Macaca mulatta: one gene and its partners. The protein of the gene in region 3 purifies or fractionates together with the protein of the main gene of each other region. This does not show direct contact. Links are inferred from orthologs where the notes say so. Each region holds a gene or a part of one and is shown on either strand. Other genes may lie near its edges. The genes, in order: CRKL, FRS2, SOS1, EPS8 and PTPN11.

Evidence for each region.
Region 1: the proteins of SOS1 (region 3) and CRKL purify together in Homo sapiens (affinity purification with mass spectrometry; 3 studies listed by BioGRID and IntAct, with this or other methods). This does not show direct contact. The link is inferred for Macaca mulatta from reciprocal best matches to the Homo sapiens genes SOS1 and CRKL.
Region 2: the proteins of SOS1 (region 3) and FRS2 purify together in Homo sapiens (affinity purification with western blotting; 5 studies listed by BioGRID). This does not show direct contact. The link is inferred for Macaca mulatta from reciprocal best matches to the Homo sapiens genes SOS1 and FRS2.
Region 4: the proteins of SOS1 (region 3) and EPS8 purify together in Homo sapiens (affinity purification with western blotting; 5 studies listed by BioGRID and IntAct, with this or other methods). This does not show direct contact. The link is inferred for Macaca mulatta from reciprocal best matches to the Homo sapiens genes SOS1 and EPS8.
Region 5: the proteins of SOS1 (region 3) and PTPN11 purify together in Homo sapiens (affinity purification with western blotting; 4 studies listed by BioGRID and IntAct, with this or other methods). This does not show direct contact. The link is inferred for Macaca mulatta from reciprocal best matches to the Homo sapiens genes SOS1 and PTPN11.

What each region holds. Positions count from the first base shown.
Region 1 is NC_133415.1:31,780,107-31,783,724, reverse strand, and holds part of CRKL (crk-like protein), read right to left. Parts: intron 1,543-3,618; coding exon 1,077-1,542; exon of another isoform or gene 487-1,076; intron 1-486. UniProt on the Homo sapiens protein: May mediate the transduction of intracellular signals.
Region 2 is NC_133416.1:76,699,356-76,702,973, reverse strand, and holds part of FRS2 (fibroblast growth factor receptor substrate 2), read right to left. Parts: intron 2,919-3,618; coding exon 2,760-2,918; intron 2,095-2,759; coding exon 1,931-2,094; intron 256-1,930; coding exon 1-255. UniProt on the Homo sapiens protein: Adapter protein that links activated FGR and NGF receptors to downstream signaling pathways.
Region 3 is NC_133418.1:85,934,607-85,938,224, forward strand, and holds part of SOS1 (son of sevenless homolog 1), read left to right. Parts: intron 1-921; coding exon 922-1,041; intron 1,042-3,618.
Region 4 is NC_133416.1:18,246,096-18,250,196, forward strand, and holds the start of EPS8 (epidermal growth factor receptor kinase substrate 8), read right to left. Parts: upstream 2,875-4,101; 5' UTR 2,774-2,874; exon of another isoform or gene 2,621-2,773; intron 2,223-2,620; exon of another isoform or gene 2,173-2,222; intron 1-2,172. UniProt on the Homo sapiens protein: Signaling adapter that controls various cellular protrusions by regulating actin cytoskeleton dynamics and architecture. Depending on its association with other signal transducers, can regulate different processes.
Region 5 is NC_133416.1:119,735,064-119,738,681, reverse strand, and holds part of PTPN11 (tyrosine-protein phosphatase non-receptor type 11), read right to left. Parts: intron 2,456-3,618; coding exon 2,388-2,455; intron 1,909-2,387; exon of another isoform or gene 1,875-1,908; coding exon 1,723-1,874; exon of another isoform or gene 792-1,722; intron 1-791. UniProt on the Homo sapiens protein: Acts downstream of various receptor and cytoplasmic protein tyrosine kinases to participate in the signal transduction from the cell surface to the nucleus. Positively regulates MAPK signal transduction pathway. Dephosphorylates GAB1, ARHGAP35 and EGFR.

The DNA of each region.
Region 1 (3,618 bases), on a different chromosome or scaffold from region 3:
CAGCCTGGCCAACATGTTGAAACCCCATCTCTACTAAAAATACAAAAATTCGATGGGCAGGCTGGCAGGCATCTGTAATCCCAGCTACTTGGGAGGCTGAGACAGGATAATCATTTCAACCCGGGAGGTGGAGGTTGCAATGAGCCAAGATCATGCCACTGTGCTGGAGCCTGGGTGACAAAGCGAGACTCCATCTCAAAAAAAATCATTCCTGGGCCGGGCACGGTGGCTCACACCTGTAATCTCAGCACTTTGGGAGGCCGAGACAGGTGGATCACGAGGTCAGGAGATCGAGACCATCCTGGCTAATACGGTGAAACTCCGTCTCTACTAAAAATACAAAAAATTAGCTGGGCATGGTGACAGGTGCCTGTAGTTCCAGCTACTCGGGAGACTGAGGTAGGAGATGGCGTGAACCCGGGAGGCAGAGCTTGCAGTGAGCAGAGATCGCGCCACTGCACTCCAGCCTGGGTGACAGAGCAAGACTCTGTCAAAAAAAAAATTAATTCCTCTACCAAGTTCAAGAGAAATTCTAAGACATTTTCATATTTCTCAACTGATTCCAATGTTAGAAATACAGAACCATACAAGTAGCTATGCATCTGTATGCTGATTTTGCCTCTAGGTCATGGGTCTTCCTTAATTATTATCTTTCCTTACTGGAAGAAAAACCAATGACTGCAAAACTAAATCTGTTAGGCTTTGGGAACAAAAAAGAGCAAGGAGGCTGAGAATGTGGGACAAACAAGGAATAGGAAAGAAGAAAACAACCTGTGAAACACTAATAACAGGCCGGGCACGGTGGCTCATATCTGTCACCCCAGTACTATGGGAGGTTGAGGTAGGAGGATTTGCTTGAGGCCAGGATGTCGAGATCAGCCTGGGCAAACAACTCTTTTTAACAGAGACCTTGTCTCTGTAAAAAAATTTAAACATGAAATGCTAACAGTGCGTATCTCCCAAAATCATCTAAGTGCTCTAATTCCATGAATATAAGCTTAAATGAGCAGAAACTAAAACTAAAAATTAAAACCAAATGTCAAAGGACCCAAAAAGCTAGTCTGAACAGATTTTACCTCTAATGCCAAGGCAGTCTTGTCATAAGCACAGGGTACTCTTTTCTGGATTGCTTTCGCAAAGACAGGTCCATTCTGTGTGGATGGCAAAGGGGTGATTGCTGCCCCAGGAGAACCGGAAACTGCAGGTAGAGGAGTTGTGGTCTGAGGTTGAGCGTACGCATGAGCAGGTTCTGGGATCCCATAACTGTTGGAATTCCTATTTCCATGCTTTCCGTGTGGTGAGGATCTCACAAGCTTTTCGACATAAGGGACAGGAATCATCCCAACCCGGCCATCCTTGTTCCGGGCACTCCACCACTGTTCTTCAGGCTTCTCTATTATCACTAGGATCTCACCCTTTTTAAACGGCAGGTCTTCGGCATCATTTCCAGGAAAATCATACAGAGTCCGTACATATTCCAGATTATCTTCTGCTGTAGGCAGGTTGGGTGCTGAGACAGAGCCCATTGGTGGGCTTGGATACCTTAAGAGAGAAAGAAAATTACTATAAGAGAAAAATCTTACTCTAAGCCAGTGCCTGTCAAACTTCTTAATAAACCACTTTCCTCTACAATAAATTATTTTCCTTTTCTTTTTTTTTTTGAGACAAGTTTCGCTCTTGTTGCCCATGCTGGAGTGCAATAGCGTGATCTCAGCTCACTGCAATCTCTGCCTCCCTGGTTCAAGTGATTCTTCTGCCTCAGCCTCCCGAGTAGCTGGGGTTACAGGCACCCACCACCATGCCCGGGTAATGTTTTTTTGTATTTTTAGTAGAGAAGGGTTTTCACCATGTTGGCCAAGTTGGTCTTGAACTCCTGACATTGGGTGATCCATGCACCTCAGCCTCCCAAAGTGCTGGGGATTACAGGCATAAGCCACCACACCTGGCCCCTACTTTTTTTTTTTTTTTGGAGACGGAGTCTTGCTCTGTTGCCCAGGCTGGAGTGCAGTGGCGGGATCTCAGCTCACCGCAACCTCTGCCTCCCAAGTTCAAGCAATTCTCCTGCCTCAGCCTCCTGAGTAGCTGGGACTACAGGCACATGCCACCATGCCCCGCTAATTTTTTCTATTTTTTAGTAGAGACGGAATTTCACCTTGTTAGCCAGGATGGCCTCGATCTCCTGACCTCGTGATCCACCTGCCTCGGCCTCCCAAAGTGCTGGGATTATAGGTGTGAGCCACCGAGCCCAGACTTTTTTTTTTTTGAGACAGAATCTTGCTCTGTCACCCAGGTGGAGTGCAGTGGCGCAATCTCAGTTCACTGCAACCCCTGCCTCCGGTGTTCAAGTGATTCTTCTGCCTCAGCCTTCCGACTAGCTGAGATTACAGATGTGCAACACCATACCCAGATAAATTTTGTGTTTTTAGTAGAGACAGGATTTTGGCATATTGGCCAGGCTGGTCTCAAACTCCTGGCCTCAAGTGATCCACCTGCCTCAGCCTCCCAAAGTGCTGGGATTACAGGTGTGAGCCACCATGCCAGGCCTTATTTTCCTTTCTATATTCTTAGTAGTTAAGAAGGTTCTATCATGCTGTAATTTTTGTAGTCTGTACTGTCCCAGAAGTTACTATTCTGAATGTCTTTTCAAATTACAAGTATATACACACACATACACTTCATCTCTGTTTTACAGAAACCTTTTGATTACACAGAGATACCTGGTTTAAATTTATTTTTATAATCTCAAGTAAGTTCGGAAGCTGCCTTCCTTTGGACCCTTGTCACAACCACCACACACTCTTCCTCCCACTCCTAATCTATGGCTTATACATCCTGCACACTTCCCTGGACACACAGAAAATGACAAAGGCCTCTACCTCTGGCCCCTTGAAAAAAAAGGAACAAAAAAGGGCTTACAGACTTGCCAAGTTAAAAACAATAAATCTACCAGGAGTGGTGGCTCAGAACTGTAATCCCAGCACTTTGGGAGGCCAAGGCAGGCAGATCACTTGGAGACCTGCGGAGGCCAAGGCAGGCAGATCACTTGGGGACCTGCCTGTCCAACATATCAAAACCCTGTCTCTACTAAAAAGACAAAAAATTAGCTGGGCATGGTGGCACACACCTGGGGTCCCAGATACTCAAGAGGCTGAGGCAGAAGCATTACTTGAGCCCAGGAGTTAGAAGCTGCAGGGAGCTATGACTGCATCATTACACTCCAGCCTGGACAACAGAACAAGACTATGTCTCAAAACATAAATAAGGCCGGGCGCGGTGGCTCAAGCCTGTAATCCCAGCACTTTGGGAGGCCGAGGAGGGTGGATCACGAGGTCAGGAGATCGAGACTATCCTGGCTAACATGGTGAAACCCCGTCTCTACTAAAAATACAAAAAACTAGCCGGGCGTGGTGGCGGGCGCCTGTAGTCTCAGCTACTTGGGAGGCTGAGGCGGGAGAATGGCGTGAACCCGGGAGGCGGAGCTTGCAGTGAGCCGAGATCACGCCACTGCACTCCAGCCTGGGAGACACAGCGAGTCTCAAAAAAAACATAAATAAATAAGAGGCCGGGCACAGTGGCTCAGACCTGTAATCCCAGCACTCTGGGAGGCCGAGGCGGGCA
Region 2 (3,618 bases), on a different chromosome or scaffold from region 3:
ACTAACTTGATCTCTTCCAAGTTGCTCCAATTTCTCTTTTTCCATTAATTGCTTTTGAACAGGCGTTGGCCCTAAAACAAATTTGACTCCTTCAGGTTCAAGAAGAATCTGAGGATCCCTGTCCTCAATACTACTTGGTTCTTCTTTTGGTGTGTTGCTTTCAGCGTTAGAAACCCTCGCCTCCAATGGAACATGCACACTTGTGCGGTTTTTCCGCTCTTCTTGCACACCTGTAGTGTTGACATAGGTATGTACCTAAAACAAAACAGAAAGTGAATTAATTTACTTAAAAAAACAAAACTGAAAAAAAGCCTGACCACATCAGTTAATTTTATTAACTTTCTCTCCAAATGTACTCTTACTTCAAAACTTTTGCAACTATTTTTTTATTAATAAAAAGGTGGAAAGAGAGAATAAATGTAGAAATGTCTTCCTAATTTGATAAAAGAGTAATGACTTTAAAATAACATGCAGGCTGGGTGCAATGGCCCACGCCTGTAATCCCAGCACTCTGGGACACTGAAGCGGGTGGATCACTTGAGGTTAGGAGTTCGAGACCAGCCTGGCCAACGTGGTGAAACCCCGTCCCTACTAAAAATACAAAAATTAGCTGGGCATGGTGGTGAGCGCCTGTAATCCCAGCTACTCTGGAGGCCGAGGCACGCAAATCACTTGAACCCGGGAGGCAGAGGTTGCAGTGAGCCGAGATTGCACCACTACATATCAGTCTGGGCAACAGAGTGAGGCTCCATCTCAAAAGATAAAGTAACATGCAACATTATATTTGATTGTTAAACATGATAATTATGCAAAAAATAAAAATCAGGAACAAAATAGGGATTATCATTTTGCTGCTGTTGTAGAGGTTCTCAAAGCATTAAAATATGATCCAGAAATAAATAACAACTTTGAAAAGAGATAAATTTATCCTTATTTACTGATGATCTGACTATATAAGATAAACTCTACTAGATTTAATAAGAGTTCTGTAAAATGCATAGATATAAAATAAATGCCACCTAGTAAGAAATTATCACTATTTAGAAAAGCTTAATGGTATTTTGGGGAGATAATATAAAAATATTTAGAAGGGCCGGGCGCAGTGGCTCACGCCTGTAATCTCAACACTTTGGGAGGCTGGAGCAGGTGGATCACTTGAGGTCAAGAGTTCAAAACTAGCCTGGCCAACACAGTGAAACCCTGTCTCTACTAAAAATACGAAACAATTAGCCGGTGTGGTGGCCTGCGCCTGTAATCCCAGCTACCTGGGAGGCTGAGGCAGAAGAACTGCTTGAACCCGGGAGGTGGAGGTTGCAGTGAGCTGAGATCACGCCACTGTACTCCAGCTTGCGCGACACAGAAAGACTCACGTAATTACAGTAAATAAGAACTCATTATGTACAGAACACAAAGAAACTGATTTTAAAAACACTAAAAACTTTTTAATATGACATATGGTTTACAAAACATAAGTATAACTAATTAATACAGAGGTTCCAACCAGATACTTCATTCCACACATGAAAACTAGAATAGTCGGGAACACTAAATAACTCCGTAACATTAACAGCAAAATCTACCTTCCTACTAGTAGTTCACTGACTGCAACGGCTAAAATATGAAAAGCAGCATAAACTCTTAATCCATTGGACGTTCTTATAATGGGAACTGACCATTAGTTATGCCTTTCTTAATCTATAGATGTACCTCTTCTGTGAACCCACAAGCTACTGTAATGCTAAGTTCCCCTGAATGCCTGCATATATTTGAGCATAAGCCAGCAAATATATGCTATTTCCTCTGATTGTTCACTACAAAAGTAATTTACAAACAGATAAACTTCAAGCTGAATAAAATCGTCTAGTTTTAGCACAGTGGTACCCTGACTCTGAACAATCATTATTGCTGTTACACCGGAGCATATGCTTACTTGTTCCTCAGCCACAAGCAAAGGATGTGTAGATTCTTCCCCTACTGAAGGCAGGCGAGCACTTCCCACAGAAGGATGTCTGCTTGAAGGATGGGATGAAGCATCTCCAAATGAGGGATATCGGGGATATCCATTAGGTAAGTTCTGAGCAGCAAATCCTGGAGCTGAGTTTTTTTTTAATTGGTTTAAGGAAAAGGGGGGTGGGGGCAGAGAGAATAAAAATGATTAAGAATCGAATCTGTACTGAGAGGATTATAAGAGGTCTTTCTGCCAAGACAGCAGAAATCAGAGCACAAATAGTATTACTCCCACTCCATATTTTAGATAATATGAAATACTAAATGTTTTCATTTTTAAAATATTTGAAGTACATAGAACTACAGCTTTTTTTTTTTTTTTTGAGATGGAGTCTTGCTCTGTCGCCCAGGCTGGAGTGTAGTGGCGCGATCTCTGCTCACTGCAGGCTCCACCTCCCGGGTTCATGCCATTCTCCTGCCTCAGCCTCCCGAGTAGCTGGGACTACAGGCATCCGTCACCACGCCCGGCTAATTTTTTTGTATTTTTTTAGTAAAGACGGGGTTTCACCGTGTTAGCCAGGATGCTCTCGATCTCCTGACCTCATGATCTGCCCACCTCAGCCTCCCAAAGTGCTGGGATTACAGGCATGAACAACCGTGCCCGGCCTACAGCTGTTTTTAAAAACTGACAACTATTATACTTCTGTTATCCAACGGTGATTTATAGTGTGTTATTGACTAAATATCCATAATCTGTATCTTACAACTAAATGTCTGTTATTCAAAATGTGAGAGGGAAAATGGGTACCTACTTGTAGGTGTTCGAGGTGTTCTAGGGACTTCCAATTCTGTCTGATGATTATTCCTTTCTACAACTGGCTCTTCCACCACATTTATACTATTATTTTGCATAATCTCTTGCAACATGTTAAATAATTCTTCTGCACGGGCACACTTAAAGGCAAAGATTCCTACAAATATAAACCAAAAGGGAAAAATAGTTAACATACCTTTGGAAAAACTATGGGAACACTTGACAAAGAGCAGAATTGTAAAGTAAGCATTCTATGCGCCAAGAGTAAGAAATCCCTTTAAAATAAATATCTGATAAATTAATGATTATTCCCTGTTTCAAAACAAGCCCCCGCCAAAAGTTCACAGAATAATTTTCATTCATCTAAGGGAGATGGCCCAAAACAAAGCTGATGAAATCAAGACCTGCACACTTAAGGCTCGTCTGTTTCTAAACAGCAGGGGGAGCCCAACTCACTACTCCAAGGTGATCATCTGCCATGTAACAGGCCCCTTGGAAAGTCCCTAGGTGTTTTCCAATTGCTATCTTGTTTAATTATTACAATAATTATAAGATAGGTATTACCATTTCCCTGTTATAGAGAAGAAATTTAACATTCAACAGAAGTCCTGTAACTTGTCAAGGCCATTCAAGTAATAGGTAGTAAAAAAATCAATGATAAAGACATTTAGTCAATTTAGCAGGCCCAATCATTTACTGAAAAATCTTAAAGGTAACACGAGCCAAAACTTCTCACATAGACAATGTGCTTAATAAACACTTGATAAATGAATACATAGTATACTATATCTTTTCTTAACAATCTGCTTATTTTGGGATTTTCATAAGAAAAATATTAATCTTTATATACAGAATAG
Region 3 (3,618 bases):
TGGGGACTATTTAGAATCTTAAACTAAATTATTCATTTTTTAATAGCTAAATGAGAAAATGAGCTAAATTTATAGATCTCCCACTAAAAATCATATTTCTGAAAATTACAGTATTAGAATCTATTTTGTTTATTTCCTAGGACCCTTTTGTGGTAGGTTTTTTTCCTCTCCTCCTTTAGACCAAAAAAAAAAAGATGTAGGAATTGCATTGATTACTGTACCCTCTTTGAACTGATTTATAACAGATATCATTACTTAAATGTCTACTTTGTCACCCTAATTTATTAATAATGTTTATAAATGCTGGAAAAGATATTATGGAGGAGTTTCAACCTTGCCCAAAGCAAAATGCTACTATAAAGCAACACTAAAAGTACACAGGTATTTCCATAAAAATAGTTTTTAAAAACAGTTTTTAAAGGCCGGGCGTTGTGGCTCACTCTTGTAATCCCAGCACTTTGGGAGGCCAAGGCAGGTGGATCACCCAAGGTCAGGAGTTCGAGACCAGCCTGGCCAACATGGTGAAACCTTTTGTCTACTAAAAATACAAAAAATTAGCCAGGCTTAGTGACGGGCACCTGTAATCCCAGCTACCCGAGAGGCTCAGGCAGGAGAGTCACTTGAACCCGGGAGGTGGAGGTTGCAGTGAGCCAAGATTGTGCCATTGCACTCCGTCCTGGACAACAAGAGTGGAACTCCATCTCAAAAAAAAAAAAAAAAAAAAAAAAGTTTTAAAAAATCCATAAGGAAATATGCATAATTATACTTTTTTGTTATACCTTGTTTTCACAAACCTTTCTGTTGGTGTAAGAGGAAAGTTCATATGAGAGTTTAGTTTTTAATCTATCTCCTTTACTTAATAAAACAGTGTCTATATTAGAGGAAAAACTGTCATGTAGAATTATGTATTGATGATTTTAGAGCTGTACAGCCATCAGAATTAGTTGGAAGTGTGTGGACAAAAGAAGACAAAGAAATTAACTCTCCTAATCTTCTGAAAATGATTCGACATACCACCAACCTTACTCTGTGGTTTGAGAAGTAAGTATTCCTAGCATTCTTACATTTTATAGCTGTCAGCTATATTATGAATTTCAATGCAATTTTGTTTTTGTTTTTGTTTTTGAGAGGGAGTTTTGCTCTGTCACATAGGCTGGAGTGCACAACATCGGCCCACTGAAACCTCCACCTCCCAGGCTCAAGCGATCCTCCCACCTCAGCCTCCAGAGTAGCCAGGATTACAGTGTGTGTGATATTACACTCACCTAATTTTTCTTTTTTTTTTGAGACAGAGTCTGGCTCTGTTGCCCAGGCTAGAGTGCAGTGCGTGATCTTAGCTCACTGAAACCTCTGCTTTCTGGGTTCAAGCAATTCTCAGGCCTCAGCCTCCTAAGTAGCTGGAACTACAGACGTGTACCACCACACCCAGCTAATTTTTGTATTTTTAGTAGAGACGGGGTTTCACCATGTTGGCCAGGCTGGTCTTGAACTCCTGACCTCAAGTGATCCACCCATCTTGGCCTCCCAAAGTGCTGGGATTACAGGCATGAGCCATTGTTCCTGACCAATGCAATTTTATTTCTATATGTCTCATGTCTTTTTCCTCTGTTCCTCCTTTATTTAGTAATTGTTTTTCATTGAATGAAAATGACAATATTTTTCATTAGAAAACGTTGAATGTTTTTCTAATGTAGCATTTTAGTTTCACTAATTATTTTCATTAACTTTTTTTGAGGTTCTTTTAATGGTTGCCTGGTTGCCTTAGAGTTTACCACACACATCTTGTCAGAATCAGCTTCAGACTTACAGTAGCTTCATACCAGTGATATATAGAAATATTACTCCTATGTAGCTCTATTCCCTTTCTCCCTTTTTTGTGGTACTGTTATACATATTACATCTTATTAATAATGCAAATCAAACAATACATTGCTACAGTTATTACTTTACCATTTGTCATCATACTCTTAGACCATTAAAGCTTTGCTCTCACCCACCTCCTTTGTGTATTATTGGCAACATATTACACATATATTACATTTCTATGTTATAAACTCAACAATGTGTTTATATTATTTTAAGTCAGTTATGAGAAGAAATGAGAAAAAAAATACGCATTTACAAAATGTCTTTAATAATTACCCAATTACCTTTACTGGTGATCTTTGTGTGGATTCGAATTACCATCTGGGATCACTTGCTTTTCAGCCTGAAGAATTTCCTTTAGTATTTCTTCTGGAGGGTCGGCTAGCAACAGATTCTCTCAGTTTTTGTTTATCTGGGAAAATCTTTATTTTACCTTCATTTTTGAACAATACCTCTATCTTCAAGTTAATACTTTTTTTCAGTTCAAATACACTATTGAGCTTTTCCAGTAAGTTTTTTATTTCAGTTATTGTACTTTTTAATTCCAGAATTTCCATTTGGTTCCTTTTTATAGTTTCTATCTCTTTAATGATATCCTCTCTTTGATGCGCATTGTCATCAACACCTTCCTTTCCTTCTTTTTCATGCTTTCCTTTAATTCTGTAACCATATTCATAATGGCTACTTAGAAATCTTTTTTGTTATTGTTGTTAAATCTGACATTTGGTTGCTCTCACAGGTAGTTTCTGTTCCTTCCCCCCTCCCCCACCCGCACCCCGCTGTAAGAGTCATATTTTCTATTTCTTTGCATACCTCATCTGTTTTTGTTGGAACCCTGACATTTCAGATAATATATTGTAGCAACTCTGAGTGCTGCTCCTCATTCCCCAACCCCCTTTCCAGGGATTCTTACTGCGTGGCAGTGGTACTGGAAAGACCCATCCACTCCTTCCCTGACCACACACACCCAGCTATGAAACTCCACAATTTGCCAGCTGATTGCTCTGATGTTTTCAACGATTTCCTGGTGGCATAAATGCTATACAAAATAATGCAATCAGATTGTGGCTCCTTTGAAGGAATGGTTTTCTGAGATTTCTGTTTCATACTTGTTCTGACCCCAGGAGGGCTTCTCTCAGTTGTCTTATTTCCTAGTTCTCCCCTGCAAACTACTCTGCCTACAGTCTAGGGTGTATCTTCATTAGATCCACAAATCTCTTCCCCATTGCCTTTCACCACAATTTCCTCTGTTCTTAAGGGCACCATTAAATTTAAACTACTTTATACTTTGTTGCAAATGACAAGATTAGGAGCTATCTGTTTGAAACAGGGCTCTAAGGCTCGGGATAATGGCAAGCTTTTCTCTGAGTGACACTTCTGCCCTAGGAGCTTGGTTGAGCAGGTAGAGTGGCAGACGATGGTACTGTAGCCTGAGGTCTCCTTACCTGCCTCTTCTGGCATGGAACCACGCCTTCAGGAACCAGAGGAAGGGCTCTTTTCTCAGTATTCTCAAAATATCATACCCAAGGTAGAGTCTCCATTCCATAAGTGGAAGTTGGGCAAGGAAGGGTCTTCCCACGTTTCAGCTGCACTCAACTGGGACTTGGCCTCAGCAACAGGCAGCAGGGACAGGATGAGAAAACTAAAGTCCTGCTCCTGTACCTCACTGGGAGCTAGGTGTTCTTGACTGCAGGAATCTGGAGTAGATGCTCAGTCCACCCTCACTGAGCTGGGAGAAAGGAGGGAGGGACC
Region 4 (4,101 bases), on a different chromosome or scaffold from region 3:
AATACATTTAGTGGTGTTCCGGATGGTAGGGTCCTGGAACAGAAAAAGGACATTAAAAACTAAGGAAATCTAAATAAAGTATAAACTTTGTTAATGCTAATGTACCGATACTGGTTCATTAACAGTAACAAATACTAATATAAGATGTTAATAAGGGGGGAAGCTGGTATGGGGGTATATTGACACTGTATTTGTAGCTTTCCTGTAAATCCAAAACTTCTGAGAAATAAGGTCTATTTTTTTAAAATCCCATTTAGGAATGCATCTAGAAAATACAGAAAAGGTTGTAGTGAAGCACTGAAGACCTTACACTTTCTTGCATATATTCAACTTAAAATGTTTGCAACTATACCAATGCAGAATTTTTCTTACAAAAATATTTTCAATCACTAACAGCTGCAAACAATTTCATGTAGTATTAATAATTCCCAGGAGGGATTTACTATAGCCAGAGTACTTTAATTAAAATTTCACTTTTTCCCCCTGACATACCTCTACAGATGTCCAAAAGTTTGTACCCTATCATTAACTTACGTTGTTTTGTGATGACCCATGTAACTACCAAGTATGTTTCATACAACTCGGGAAAGCTGAGTTGTATATAAATATTACATAAATCAGTGCTTAAATATTCATCCAATAGAATTTCAAGTATCTAAAGAGACAACTTCTAAAAAGCTATCATTTCCTATTCTGGATACTATGTTTTCTTATACAAACCTTGGTTCAAGTGACCTGCTACAGAATTAAAAGAGGTATGTAAAAGAAGGGAGTAGAGAGAAGAATAAAAAGCAGTAGGGGAAAGGGTGTGAAATAGAGGGTAACAAAACAACTAGGATTGGGAATGTAATAAACACAAAGTAGACAGTAGCAAGCCAATGCCATAGCATAGAAAAGAACTGGTATCTGAAAAGAATCAGTATTGATAAAACCTTGAAAGCAGGAAAAAGCTAGAAATAAAAACAAAATGAATCTTTATGTTTGATCACAAACAAGCAAAATATTCAAAATTAGACACTAGGTTCCTGACAGGAAACAAAAGAAACATCACCCCATTAAAAGAAACATCACCCCATTAAGAGTGGGGCTATTAATAGTGTCAGTTAAATTACACTTGCTAGAAATTACTATATATAATATTCAATGACATTGGGAAGTGAAAAAAATTACAAAGAGAATGCACCAAGTCTTGTAAACAGCAGTTATCTCAGAATAGTAGAATTAAAAGCAAATTATATTTTCCTTCTTTTTTCCTGCTATAAAGTGAATGACTTGTGGTGCAATCTTACGAAGTCTCAATCTGTGTATTCTGCACTAAACGCATTCTATTAACACTATTGTATTTGTGATACATTCTACCTTACCCTTTATGTGACAATTCTATACTGTTTTAACTTTCAAATTGTAAGTAAAAGTGTGAATTCGTGACCAAAAATTTTCCACACCAGTAACTTAAGAACTACAGCAATATGTTTAGAAAACTGCGATCCCAAACAAAAAATTCTATACTAGGTGAGACAGGATGACATTGACTTTAATTCCAATAGACTCACTAGCACATGATGTCCATTACTATTGCTCACTTTCCAGAACCCAAGGAGCTGTGGAAGAATAGAGTCCTTTCAATGAAAATAAACTAGAGGAAATACACAACACAGTTACTTTGAGGGGTTTTTTAATTATTATCATTATTTTCAATATAAAGAAGCCTGCCCGGAATCCTAACTCTCCTATTTCTCAAAAACGACAAAGCCAAAAAATCACACTCTTCACATACACATCTGAAACCAAGTTTTATCTGAACTCATCCTAACATATTAGCTCTTTTTACCAATTCCTCTTTACTATCTAAGGCAAGAAACCTTGAAAACAGAAGCAGTAACACTTTTCACTGAAACATATTTTGTAAAGGAGGGTTCTAAATCCTAATGCTTCACCGCTCTAGATGTCTACGGATTTCAAATCCTAATACCACGGCGTCCTGCCCCCCGCGAGATTCCAACAGTACTACGGGCCCTATGGGAGGAAGAGGATTTAAGAAACACCGCAGGAGAACGATCGGTGCAAAGATTTTGCAAACAGGTAGTCCTAGGAAAGAAAGTAAGAGTGAGAACATCGGAGAGAGCAGGGGGTACATGGGTGGGGAAACCCATTTCAAATGCATGAACTGACCACAACCGGAGAAAAGCCGTCTGTCTTCCCAAAAGTAAAATGGTGAGTAAAGTGGAGTAAGCTAAGAAAGTCAACAGCAATTAGGCATTGACAACGATTCCGAAACAATGAGCTATCTTAATTTGAGGGGGTGAACGGGGGTGGGACCCTGTCCCAAAGGGTCATTTTGAAAAGAACCCCTCCCCATTTGAGGCGGGTGGGGAGAGCAGTTCAACAAATCCCAAGTCTAAGATAATAAGCCGAGATCGGGATACTCGGTCTGCAGTCGCCCCACGGACCAGATGAGCGCAGGTGTATCTGCGGAAGCTCAGGTTACCATGAATATCACTGAGCCACGGCGAACCTTCCCTGCCCAGCCTCCCGGAGCCCTGGGCGCGGGTCTGCACGGGCCCCGCGGCTTGCCCGGACCCGGCGAGCGAACGTCTCCGGCCGCAGCGCCCTCGCGCACCTGGCTGCCAACACCAGTTGAAAGCAAAGTGAAGGGAGGCGGACGCGGCTCCTGGCACCGCTCCGATCCAGCACACAAAGGCGGATTTTTAAAATCGAGAGAGTCAAAGCCGCCGGACCCCCGGACCGGCGCCTTTCGCCAAGGGGCTCTTACCTCGGATCCGCCCTCGGGGCCACGGCTTTCCCCGGAGACGCCGCGAGCCCAGACGAGGTGGGAGGGGACCGGGAGAAAGCCCCCCAATCTGATTCGCGCCCAGCCAGTCGTCCGCGAGCCGCGGAGCCGCCCCCTGCGCCCAGCTGAAGAGCAGCGATCTCCGAGGCGAGCACAGCGCCGGCCTCGCGCCGGGCGAGACCGCCTCGCTAGCTGCTGCCTGTGAAGTCTGGAGCCGCCCGCCCGCTCACGGCCAGTGCCAACCGCGCGCCGCGCATGCCCAGTGCCCGCGCGAGGAACCGGGGAGCGGGCGGGCAGGCGAGTGCGCGCCGCGCAGCCAGGAGCGGGATCCGCTCTCCGGGTCTTGCTGGCAGCCGAGCCGCGGAGTTCTGGTCGACTCCAGCGCTGGAGGCGAAGCGGCCGGTGAGGCCGGGTGGGCGGGAGAGGGACCGGAGGAAAGGAGACGGGGCGCTGCGCCAAGTTATCAAGGCCGCGATCAAAGTCGGACCAAGGCAGCGAGCCGACAGCGGGTTTTCCAGAAGTGCCCTAGCAGGACCGACTAGCAGGCAGGAGGCGCGGGAAGGAGCAAAGAGCGTGTGGAGAGCTTCGCCCCCGGCAAGGATGGACGCCCCGGGCGGAGAAAGCGCTCGGGTTGCAACACCCGGGGTCTGGCTGCATCTCGTAACCCCTGCCCTATGGCGGCAAACAAGCCGCCCCTAATGACCAGCCAGCCTTCGTCTTCCTCCTCTGGCCCTCGGACCTATTTTCCCCTTTTTGTCGCTTTCCTCTTTTTTTGTTGTCTCTCTAACCCATGCGGTAAAACTGGTGGTGCCCAAGGCCCTCCATCGGGTCCCTGGGACTCTCCCAACTGCCGGTCCTTAGCGCCAGCCTGCAAGCCCAGACCCGCCTCGTCCGGCTGCCTGGGAGTCTATTTTTCTTGTAGCTCTTGCCAAAAGCCCTGATGTGGTTTGAAGTAGTGGAGGCTTCTTTCACTTTGTGCTTCTCGTGCCTTAACCAACCCTCGTAACCTCCTCTCTGAGTAGCTTATGGAGCCTCTAAAGGAGAAGTCCATCTTCTCATAGACATTGTGTTTTCTCACTCTTAAAACTCCTCATTGTCATAGCTACTCCCGCAATCCCCCCATGCTGTCCTAATTTCGAAGTCAGTTGACTTCCAGAAGTCAACGAAAGCCTATAAATTAAACTTGGTTAAAAGAGATTGGACCTGCTTGCTTTGTGAAGCAAATAAAAGCACAGTCAGGGAGAAACGAGATAACATGCCAAGGTGGACATTAAAACCATTCTAAAAGTTGGAATCGATCTAACGGCTAA
Region 5 (3,618 bases), on a different chromosome or scaffold from region 3:
GAGGCTAAGGCAGGAGCACTGGTTGAGCCTAGGAGTTCAAGACCAGCCTGGGCAACATGGCGAAACCGTGACACTACAAAAAATGCAAAAATTAGCTGGGTGTGGTGGCACATGCCTGTAGTACCAGCTACTTGGGAGGCTGAGGTGGGAGGATCGCTTAACCCTGGGAGACTGAGGCTGCAGTGAGCCATGATTGCACCACTGCACTCCAGCCTGGTCAACAGAGAGAGACCTCTCTCATTTAAAAAAAAAAAAAAGACATTCCTGAACATGCTCCAAATTGTAGTAACTATGCTACATTTGCTTTGTATTTACTAGGAAATCCTTCTCTTTGGGCAACTTTTTGCCTAACTATTCTTGGGCCAAATTAAGTATAATGGAAGACATATATAAAATAACTTATAGTAACCATCTAAATATTTCATATCACTTAATACAAATTCAGATTTAAAGCACTGAAGTTGGCCAGGTGCAGTAGCTCACGCCTGTAATCCCAGCACTTTGGGAGGCCGAGGCGGGTGGATCACGAGGTCAGGAGATCAAGACCATCCTGGCTAATACGGTAAAACCCCATCTCTACTATAAATACAAAAAATTAGCCGGGTGCGGTGGTGGGTGCCTGTAGTCCCAGCTACTCGGGAGGCTGAGGCAGGAGAATGGTGTGAACCTGGGAGGCAGAGTTTGCAGTGAGCCGAGATCGTGCCACTGCACTCCAGCCTGGGCAACAGAGCAAGACTCCGTCTCAAAAAATAATAACAATAATAAATAAAAATTTTTAAAAAATAAAGCACTGAAGTTCAAATTTTGACCTTAATTTCTATACATACAGTTTCTGAAGATGTCTATGTATAATAAAACAATTCCGTATGTCTGTGTGGACTGAAAACCTACTAAACTAATTAGCAGTTACCTTACTTTGGCCCACCAAACTTTGATAAAGTGGCTGCTATTCTGCTAGTCTAGAAATCTTTCAAATATTGGTGGCAGGTCCCATTCTGAAAAGAGCTCAGCATTTGGAGAAGCTGAGTTCTCTGGAAGGCAATGAGCAGAGTAATGCAGGCAATCGTCACTGATGTTTAGACACTACCCCATCTGCAGCATGGCAATGGGGTTGAGGGGTGGGGGAGAGAAGCACAGCCCCCAAAAGAGCAGTTCTCCTCATTTCCTTCATCTCAGCATATTCCTAATTAACTCAGCTTTGTGCCTGTTATGAATAGCTTCAGATGGAAAGGCTCCAATTCCACATTCCTCTTCATTATGCACAGCTTATTAAAATTGAAATTTCACTGTTTCCAACTCGACCAAATTAGTGGTTCAAACTGCTGTGCGCTATTAAGAGTGAGGCATTCGTTTTAAAGGATGGAATCAGGATAAACATGGCCTGGATCAAGGCTGGAACAGGCTAGAAACTTCAAGGCTTTGAGTTTTATGCTTGCCACGTGAGCCTGGGAACATCAGACCTTTCTGCATGGCAGTTCTTCAATCTGGCAGGCCAGGCTGATAGGATGGTGCCCTTCCCTAAGCTCCTCTGCAGTGAAAAATCAGAGCTGAGAAGTAGAGAATAATTAACAGTTTCCAGAAGCCCTTTTAGTTGGGAGTTTGTTTCCCATTCCCAAATCAAACAGTTGTCTATCAGAGCCTCTCCTCCTGCTCAAAAGGAGAGCGTATCCAAGAGGCCTAGAAAGAGAATGCGAATCTGCATGCCAGCCCTCAGGCTGGTACCTGCTCTTCTTCAATCCTGCGCTGTAGTGTTTCAATATAATGCTGGACCGCCATATAGATAAATCGGTACTGTGCTTCTGTCTGGACCATCCCTGACCTCTGAGACCGCACCATCTGGATGGTTTTGGGAACGTCAATGTCGCAGTCAACACCTACGAAGGAAACATCAAGAAGAATAAAGAGAAACTGCAGAACCAGGATGAAGTTGTTTACACACAACTTTTAGTGGACTCACAGACAATGCTGATTTAGTCTTTGTTGTTTTAATTGAGCATGTTGCAATGGCTACAGTGTTGAACTTCTGACCAATACCAAAGATCCCAGAAGACTACATAAATAATAAAGTGGCAGAGGTCAGGATTCCCTCACTTTCCAACAAATCACCCCATACTGTAAACAAGGTTCAGGTGGCTGGATAGAGACCACCACTGTGTATGCAACAAAAGGCCACGGCAGTGGGTTCAGCAGCTCCTAGACTTCATTTTATGCCAAAAGCTCAAATAGTGTCACTTCTGTTCTCAAGCAGACACACTGAAGTCTTCAGCCCAGATTTTTGTGAAAAATTTTTCCCATTCAACCTCTCTTCCCTAGGCTGTTTTCACGAGCACTTTCCTTCCATAAACTAAAAACAGAAACTGTCACTTCTTGCCCGCCAGATGACCCACCTTTCTCTCTGATGATGTCAATAAGAATATCAATCACAATGAATGTCCCTGTCCGGCCAATTCCAGCACTGCGGGCAGAAGGACAAAAAGCAGGGACAACAGAATCATTCATGGGGGTTTCAGACTCAAAACCAAGCCATTAGTATTAACAGAAACAATGTCTACTCTTGGGAGCTATTTATAAAATTGTCTCTTTATGTTTGAAAATATGTTGGCAAAAAGCACAGGGCTTTGAAGTCAGCCCAAACCTGCTCTTGGAGTTCAGCTTCTCCAGTACAACGTGCCTGAGTTAAGTCCCTTAACCTCTCTGACCCTCAGTTTCCGCATCTGTGAAATGGGGACAACAGCACATACCATACAGAGTGCTGGTTGGACAGAATGAAACAGGAATCGTATACAAAAAAATACATCAAAATTACTGAAAGAGGGCCAGGCACAGTGGTTCTCGCCTATAATCCCAGCACTTTGGGAGGCCGAAGCAAGATGATCACTTAAGACCAGGAGTTCCAGACCAGCCTGGTCAACATAGCAATACCTCGTCTCTACTAAAAACACAAAAATTAGCCAGGCATGTTGTCATGCACCTGTAATCCCAGCTACTCAGGAGGCTGAGACATGAGAATTGCTTGAACCTAGAAAGCAGAGGTTGCAGTGAGCTGAGATCGCACCACTGCACTCCAGCCTGGGTGACAGAGTGAGACTCTGTCTCAAAAAATAATAATAATAAAGTTACTGAAATAGAAGAAATAAATAATTTTAAAAATTAAAAACAAAAAACATTGTGCTCAGAGGCTGGCTCAATAAATGGTAGCTTCTTTAACAACTGGACAAATAAAAAAGTTTCACATATATCTACCTGCCCAAGAAATGAATGAGATTTAGGAGACCCAATGTTCCCCAGTATAATCATGAAGCCCAGACTGGAGAATCAGCAGCCCACAGACTCATTACAAAGGTCACAGCACAGCTTCCTTCAAAGGCGTTGGTAGAAAGCAGCTGGAAGCTTGTGAGGCAAACAAATATAGTGTTGGGGAAGAAATATATTTATGGTAGAAGAGAACAGAATGGGCCAGGTGTGGTGGCTCACACTTACAATCCCAGCACTTTGGGAGGACAAGGCAGGTGGGTCACTTGAGGTCAAGCATTCGAGACCAGTCTGGCCAACATGACAAAACCTTGTCTCTATCAAAATACAAAAATTAGCCAGGCGTGGTGTCAGACACCTGTAATC